2 linked regions of the Oryctolagus cuniculus genome follow. The protein of the gene in region 1 interacts with the protein of each later gene in a biochemical or structural test. Links are inferred from orthologs where the notes say so. Each region holds a gene or a part of one and is shown in the gene's direction. Other genes may lie near its edges.

Region 1 (4,097 bases):
AAGCTTTCTCTTTTTCTTTCGATATATCCTCCTTGACATACAAGAAATCTCTGGCATAAGAGATTGAAATCTCTTGGAATACTTTCCTTGTCTCTGCCCTGGAATCAGCCATTTCACCAAGAGGCAGAGTTCCTCGTGGAGAATGGTATTCAGAAACAAGATCTGAGGGACAGCACTGTGGCACAGTGGGCTGAGCCACCATCTGCAATGCTGGCATCCCATATGGGCACCCGTTCCAATCTCACTGCTCCACTTCTGATCCAGCTCCCTGCTAATGCACCTGGGAAAGTAGCGACAAATGGCCCAAGTGCTTGGGCTGTTGCACCCACGTGGGGCACCCAGTGGAGTTCCAGGCTTCTGGTTTCTGTCTGGCGGTTGCCGCCACTTGGGGAGTGAACCAGTAGATGGAAGATTTCTGTCTCTCCCTCTCGCTCTGCCTTTCAAACAAGTAAAATAAATCTTTTATAAAAAGGAAAGAAAGAAAGAAACCACGATCCTGGGAGTAATCTGGGGAGTACATATTTCCGGATATTAAAATACCAACTGTCCCTATTTCTTCGAGGCATTCTGTAGTGATTTACAATCCTAACTCTATCATGACCTGTGTGATCCTGGCAGATCCCCTCATTGCTAGCAGCCTACCTCATCATCTGAAAAGAGATTGGATTAGTAAGTAATTTCTTAACCTTTTCAGGGTCGCCAACACGTTTGGGATTCTGAATGGAGCTATGGTCCCATTTCCCCAGAAACACGCTCACATAAAGCAAAATGTTGCCTACATTTCAGGCAGCTCCAAGTTCCGAAGCCAGTTTGAGGCTGCAAATCCCGGGACAGAGTGTTCTCTTAGGGTCTCTTCAACGCTGCTGCTGTGAGAACGACTCCACGGAGACACCCAACTGTGGAGGGATTTATATAGCAAAGGACACAAAGGAACCTGTGAGCAATGCATTGCTCAGCCACAGTTCTTTGCTGCTGCCAAATTGAGGACGCGCTGTACTCCGAGGCGAGAGGTTTTGGCGGGAAGGTCCCCAGGTGGGCGGAGAACGCCTGGGCGAGGAAGGAGCGCACAGGCCGGATTCGGGTCGCTGCACCCCTCCGCACCGCCCACCAGGGCTCGCTCTTGCCCTTCCGCTGGAAAGCCTAGCGACGGGGCGGGCCCGGCTTGGACCCCGCCCCCGGCAGCGCGAGGCGCTGGGGAGCCGGCGGGGCGCCAGAGCCCGGAAGGAACGCGCCGGCCAGGCCCCGCGCCCCTCCCCGCGCACCGTCCCTCCCACCCTCCCGCCCGGCGCCGACGTCGGCGGTGCTCCGGTCGCCATGGTGACCAATCGAGACCCGGTCCCGCCCCCGCCCTCCTCCCGGCCCCCTGACGTCGGTGCACGTCAGCGGCGGCGCGCGCCTGGCTGGGCCCTGTGGAGCGGGAGGGAAGGAGCGAAGGAGCGAGCTGAGCGGCGGTCGCCAAAGCCGAGCCTCGCTGCCCGCCCGCCCGCCCGCGCTCCAGTCGCCGTGTCTAGCAGCGGGGCCCAGCATGGTCATGGCGGATGGCCCGAGGCACTTGCAGCGCGGGCCGGTCCGGGTGGGGTTCTACGACATCGAGGGCACGCTGGGCAAGGGCAACTTCGCGGTGGTGAAGCTGGGGCGGCACCGGATCACCAAGACGGAGGTGCGGCCCGGGGTTCGGCGGGAGCGTCTGAGGCGAGGGTTCGGGAGAGGAACTGTTTACCGAAAAGGGTGGCTGCAGCGGTGGGGCCGGGGGGGGGGGGGCACGAGGCCGCGCCACTCGCTCAGGCGAGCGGGCCTGGGGCCGCGAGGACCCAGGAGGTGCAGGGTATCGGGGCCGGGCTCCCCCGGACTCCGGCGCCGTCCGAATGGCAGCCCGACCAGCTGGGGCTTCGCTTTCCCCCTCGCCGCCTCCGGTGGCCACTCGGAATTTCGCCTCGAGCCTCCCACCCGGGCCGTGACCTGGTCTGTGGCCTCCGCTCCGCAGCCCAAGTTCCGCGTCTTCCCTGCTTTCGGCGGGGGGTGGGGTGGGAGGGGAAGTCTCGGTGCTCCGGGACTGCGCCGTGAGAGACGGCGCCCGCTCGCAGACGGCACCGGCTGCGCTCGGGCTGCGCGGCCGGGAGGACCGCGCGCCCCCCTGACCCCGACGGCCCGGCCCTGCCCGGCGAGGAAGGGGCCGGGGGGCCGGGTGTAGGCACTGGCAGTCTCCTCTCGCTCCTCTCGCCCCGCAGTGTCTCTGGTGTTGAGTGTCTGGCGAGCTTGATCAGTTGCCTGAGGCATTTCCATCTAATGCTCCAGACAATAGAACTGGTTAAAATGGTCATCTGCGTTTGCACCGTTGGTGGGTTAGCCTCTCTCTGGCTCAGGGGGTGTCCCCTTGGCCAGTGGGCGTTCTGGCCGTGAATGCGCATTCCTGAAGCCACATCGGATTCTGTCCGCTCCCCGAGCCCTCGGCGGCTTGCTGACGGGCGCAGCCCGCATCCCCCTCCGGCGCACATTCGAATGCACCACACATAATTCCTCCCGAGTCTCTTTCTTACCTAACCCGCCCCCCTTCCTTCCACTGCCTGAAGCTCCTCTCCTGAGGTCTCTATTTTAAAGACGCGCACATCAAATATCTTAGGAAAACGGTCGAGAGACACCCATTCTTTGAAATAAAACCTGCCGGTTTGGATGTACTCTGTTCTCATTGTGGCAGCCACTGGGTCGTGATGCTTTTTCAGCCCGCCCCACACGACCATCTCATTTTTCGGTTTTTTCCCGGTATTAGTATGAATACACTGGAGTTTGAATGTGGAGTAAAGTAGAACTTTTTTTCCCCCCCAGAATGACTTATGTAAGGCGAAGGTTGTTTGAAAACTTGAGTGATTTTTGTGGCTGTTGCTGTGCTTGGAAATTTTGCCTAACGTCCATTGCTTTTTGGAGTCTGTGTCATTCTGTCATCTCCACGTTTTGCTTCCCCTGCTGATCCTGAAGCAACCTCCATTGGACCTATTTTTTTAGCGTGAGGACCAAGGTCACAGATTTTCCTCTTACAGATTTACAACTGTTGGCAGTTTAGGTTAAGTTTGGAATGATAGTGATAGTTTTACTGTAGTGACATTACCGAATCTTTCTGTAGCTTAATCCCATCCCAGCATTTTTAAAAATGAGGAAAGTGGCTCCATTCCTCTGAAGAGCGTGTCTAATGCCATGCTGTCCTCCCTTGCACGCCATAAAAAGAAGGCATTTTAGATGCACGTTTTTGCAGGAATCCTGACTTAATGGCTTTGTAAAACTCCAGTTGTGCCTCACAAAGGGGTTCTAGGGAACTTCTGATCCACGTTATTTTGTGAATTATAAACTCATCTGTTCCTTTTTTATTTTTTTGTCACAAGCTCCTATTGGTACTAACAGCAAGATTTAATAAAGTCAACTGTTATTTATCAGGTCAAATTTAGTTAGCATGCGGTATCTGTGGGTACTTAAGTGGAGCTGGTAGTGCCTGACACTTTCTCTTGAGATTGTCGGTTCCAATGGTGTCCTTTTTAAGCGTACATGTCTTAGAGAGCTAGGGGGCACTGTGGAGTAATAGAGTCGTTTAGTTATTGGTAGTGTGAGATCAATGCATTTATAATTGAAGACGGCAACCAGATGGTGCAAGAGCACTCAGATCCTAAATTGTCTGTGTAGTATGTAAAATGATTTAAGTTAAAAGTCACTGTTTTAGTCCATGGGACCTGTCTTGTGCATTTTATTATTATTATTATTTTTTGACAGGCAGAGTGGACAGTGAGAGAGAGGCAGAGAGAAAGGTCTTCCTTTGCCGTTGGTTCACCCTCCAATGGCCGCCGCAGCTGGTGCGCTTCAGCCAGTGCACCGCGCTGATCCGAAGCTAGGAGCCAGGTGCTTCTCCTGGTCTCCCTTGGGGTGGAGGGCCCAAGCACTTGGGCTATCCTCCACTGACCTCCCGGGCCACAGCAGAGAGCTGGCCTGGAAGAGGAGCAGCTGGGACAGAATCGTGTGTCCCGACTGTGACTAGAACCCGGTGTGCCGGCACCGCAGGCGGAGGATTAGCCTATTGAGCCGCGCGCGGCGCAGCCAGCTACATCTTGTGCATT
Region 2 (3,990 bases), on another chromosome or scaffold:
CTTTGGGATATCTCGTTCAATGAAATGAGAAGGCAGTGGGGCAAAGGCTGGCCCAAGAAGCGAGACAGTTAAGTCACTAGAGAGATGATCAGAGGACACTGACTGGTCAGGGACTATGGATAGGGACAGACTGACACTAGGAAAGCCAGAGGTAGGCACCCCGCTGCTATGGGGTAAGCAGATGGGGAGGACATGGACCCAGAGTCAGTGCCCTGTTGGTTTTAGCCCATTTCAACTTCAGCACCTGCCACTTGAAGTGGGCCCCTCATACTTCCCTAATCTTGTACTCAAATAAGTTTCCCTCTTCCCTTCTCCCAGGGGATTAGTGCCAAATGGTCTCTCCTTACCAGTTTTGGTACCTTCTAGGGCATCTCCAGTTCTGCCCACTCCTCTATTTCTAAAGTGCCAAATAGCTTCCCTCCCTCTTTCTCAAAGCACAGTGATGTGGCAGTGAGCCCTGACCAGCGCCTCCGTGGAGGGGTTCTGCTTTCTTTTGGTCCCAGATCCTTGGGGGAGGTAGAGGGCAGAAATGTTTGCTGGGCTGTGGGTCAGGGGACTGTTGGAGAGCTGGGGCCACCTACCACTGCTGCACCTTAGGAATATGGAACATGGACATGGTGCCCCAGGCACAAATGATAAACACTGAGCTACCAATTTTTTTTTTTTTTAATATATATATATATACCGGAGGAGCCCAAGTGGGTAGGCAGATTCCTACCTACCAGGGTTATTTTTGGGGAGGGAGGACTATGCATAGGGCTGTATTCTCTAGAATCTATTTTACTAACTGACCTGTTTTGGGATATGTTACCCAAATAAAAAATGTTTATACATCTGTGCTGTATTCGATTCGTTTGTCTTGGGAAAGGGATTAGTGTGTGGCTGCTTGAGAGGACCTGCGTCCCAGATGTTTACAGGTGTTTAAGATACTTGCTCTCAGTGTTTTCACTCTGGCCCCAATAGTCCCCTTCCCTGAAGATGACCAGGTTTTTTCTCCTTTGTCTCTTACTTGGCCCCTCCCTGTCTCCACCCCTTCCATTCCCTTCTTTTCCTTTCCTTTCTCTTCCCTTTCCTCTCCTTAATCCTGTGCTCCGGACTAATTGAGAACTACGTTTCCCAGCTTGCTCCGCGCAGGGAGTAGCCAAGTGGGTGGAGCAAGGTCCCCAATTCCCGGAGTCGACAAGGCTACTGGGAAATGGTGTCCGTTTCCTCTCCGTGCTGCGTAACTGGGGGGGTGTGAAGGAGTCACGTAAACAAACTACAATTCCCGGCGGGCCCTGCGCGCAGCAGGTCAGGACTAGGCTGGGGCCGGGTTCGCGGTGCTAGCTGAGGCGGCGGCGGCGGCGGCGGCGGCTACGGCTGGAGGAGCCGGGCCGGAGCCCGCGGCAAAGGCCGCGGCTTGTACTGGGAAGGTGGCGGGGAGGGACGGGAGAGGAAGATGGCGACGTCAGGAGCGAACGGGCCCGGCTCGGCCACCACCTCGGCTTCCAATCCGCGCAAGTTTAGTGAGAAGATTGCGCTGCAGAAGCAGCGTCAGGCCGAGGAGACGGCGGCCTTCGAGGAGGTGATGATGGACATCGGCTCCACCCGGGTGAGGGGCCGCGCTGGGGAGCGGGAGCGGAGTGGAGTAGTTCCCGAGCGGAGGTCGGAGAGGCGGGGCGGAGGCGGGAGCCGTAGCCGAGGAGGTGGCACGGGCAGCGGGCGCCGCCGTCTGGGAAGCGTGAGGTTGAGGGCCGACGGGCAGGAAGACGGATTTTGCGGGAAGAGTCGGAAACACTGGAGAGGTTGGGGGAGTGGGATTGCGAGGGGGCCAGTACGTGAGGCAGGAGTGGGCGGAGAGTGGTCGCCCGAAATCTGGCGGAAGGAGGAGGTGAGTGGTCCTTGTGCATCCCTGACGGAGTTCCCTAGGGGACTCTTCCGAGGCATCTCGGGAGGATGGTCGGCTTGCTAATCTGGCTCCTTTGAGTTTGTAATCCCCACGGACTCCTCTCCTGCCCTGCTGTGCCACTCTTGGCGCTTTGGTACCTCCAGGAAAAGGCCCCTTGAGTGGTGTGAACGCGCACTGCTGGGTACGGTGGGGCAGGAAGTCCCCTCCTGCGTCCCGTCCCTTTGCTTCCTTTTTCAAATACTTCTTGTGGTTTCCTGATGTGAAGGAAGGTGAGGTCCATCGCTCACAGACTGCTGCCTGGTGTTCTGGCCTTGGAGGAGACTAGAGCTTTGAATCCCAGAAACAGGTTGCGTGGAGCCGGATGACTTGCTGAGCCTCCTAGGGCAGTGGCTGACTGTAGGTCAGCTTATGGGGTACCTTGGAGGGTCCTCCATGTGCAGGGGCTATTCGTTCCTTAGGCGTTCCAGAAAACTTTGCCAGGCTGCCACTGAAGCCCCCGCCTTGATTTCTTGCTTCCCAGGGCTGGACGTCTGAAGAAGCAAGGGTTGGGGATTTGTCCTACTGGCATGCAGTCCTAATTTAGGGACATATCAAAACAGCAGGTGAGGAGAGTGCAGGGGTCCTTCATTGCAGAGAGCTGGAAGGAATTTAATGGGAGATGGTGGAGCATAAATAACACACTTCAAGGCTTTTTCTGTGATTACATCAGCCTATGACTGTGACTTTGATTGTATTTTTGTGTGTGTTTCCCTTGGGTGTGTTTGGGTTTTTGTGTGTTTTTTCCTCTTTGTGTCTCTTGGGACCATGTGCCCTAGTTTGTGGGAGTCAGAACAGAGAAAGTTAGGTGGCGAAGCAGAGTGTATGTGTGTGCATGCACAAGCATAACCCATCCTCACTACCATGAGGATTGTGGTCTAACTGTTGGCTGCTCCCCGTTAAGAGATTTGATCATAGTGGGGACAGACACAAGATGGGAGACAGGCTGGTCTCTGGTTGACAGTTCAGGCCCTGCCCTCTGGACTGGGATTCCAGCAGAGGCCGGGTAGGATCCTAGGGCTTATGTGTGCAAACAGAGAAAAGCTGTGAGAAACCCAAAGCACAGGCTTCTGTCTTTGTGGTGCCTCAGTCTATCAAAAGACCCCCTCTGCCCTCCATGCCTCTGCCACACGGAAAAGTCTAGTGGACACACATAGCCAAGGCCTGGGGACCCCAGATTCTAGAGTGAGAAATAAGAGACCTGGAGCTCAGCTTGTTATCTGGCCAGCTGCGAGAGCCCACTTGAGACAGATATGGCCATGGGGTCCTGTGTTGCTGACAGGCTGGCATTGCTGTATCTATCAAAAGTGGTCTTGGAGTGACCCCGAGGTCAGCATTTCTGACATCCTGGAACAGAAGGGCATTTCTTGTGTTGGCTTATATACAGCAGTGCAACCCCGGAAGCTCTTAGAATTTACTTCTCCATAGCCCTGGGTCTTTTTATTTGGCTGGTGGCAGTGGCCGAGACTTGGCAGTGGATACTCAGCTCTCACAGGGGCATATGAGATCTCTAGGCAGACTACACTCATGCCAGGCCGAGGGTTGAGGGACCTCACCCCTGTATCAGATGTATCTCCCCAAAGCAGAGATGAGGCCGGGGAGATGACGAGTCTTGGCTGGAGTGGTCTGTTGCTCCTTCTCCGACTTCCTTTCGCCAGGTTTCCCTGCCAAGTCAGGATCTTAGGAGTCAGTGGAAGTGTGCCTTTTGGTTTTGGCACTGTTTTCTGGCTAGGAGGGCCATCATCCCTTGGCTAGTCCAGTTCTGGAGGTACAAGCTGTGTAGCCTTCCTGAGGCTGGGCAAGTGACTGAGCCCAGGAGCCCGTGCTCTCCGGAGTGGGAAGGAAAGAGGCTGGCAGTAATGACTCTGATATCCACCTGTGGCCTCGCTCTTCTCTTCCAATTAGTCCTGAACGCATCTGGAGAGGAAAGCAGAGGTGCATAATAGACACCCCTCCCTGTGATTAGCCTGGAGCTCCTGACAGCCCCTCAGGGACTCTGCTTATACTGACTCCAAGTGAGGCAGGCCCAGCACAGTGCCAGGCGCTGCCCGAGAGTAGCACAATCC

Evidence for each region. The genes of interacting proteins can lie anywhere in the genome.
Region 2: of the proteins of SIK2 (region 1) and CRTC2, one has a biochemical effect on the other in vitro, tested with the Homo sapiens proteins (2 studies listed by BioGRID). The link is inferred for Oryctolagus cuniculus from reciprocal best matches to the Homo sapiens genes SIK2 and CRTC2.

Annotation. Positions count from the first base shown.
Region 1 is NC_091432.1:103,539,607-103,543,703, forward strand, and holds the start of SIK2 (serine/threonine-protein kinase SIK2), read left to right. Parts: upstream 1-1,297; 5' UTR 1,298-1,314; coding exon 1,315-1,660; intron 1,661-4,097. UniProt on the Homo sapiens protein: Serine/threonine-protein kinase that plays a role in many biological processes such as fatty acid oxidation, autophagy, immune response or glucose metabolism.
Region 2 is NC_091438.1:44,411,574-44,415,563, forward strand, and holds the start of CRTC2 (CREB-regulated transcription coactivator 2), read left to right. Parts: upstream 1-1,190; 5' UTR 1,191-1,438; coding exon 1,439-1,591; intron 1,592-1,621; exon of another isoform or gene 1,622-1,870; intron 1,871-2,408; exon of another isoform or gene 2,409-2,490; intron 2,491-3,990. UniProt on the Homo sapiens protein: Transcriptional coactivator for CREB1 which activates transcription through both consensus and variant cAMP response element (CRE) sites.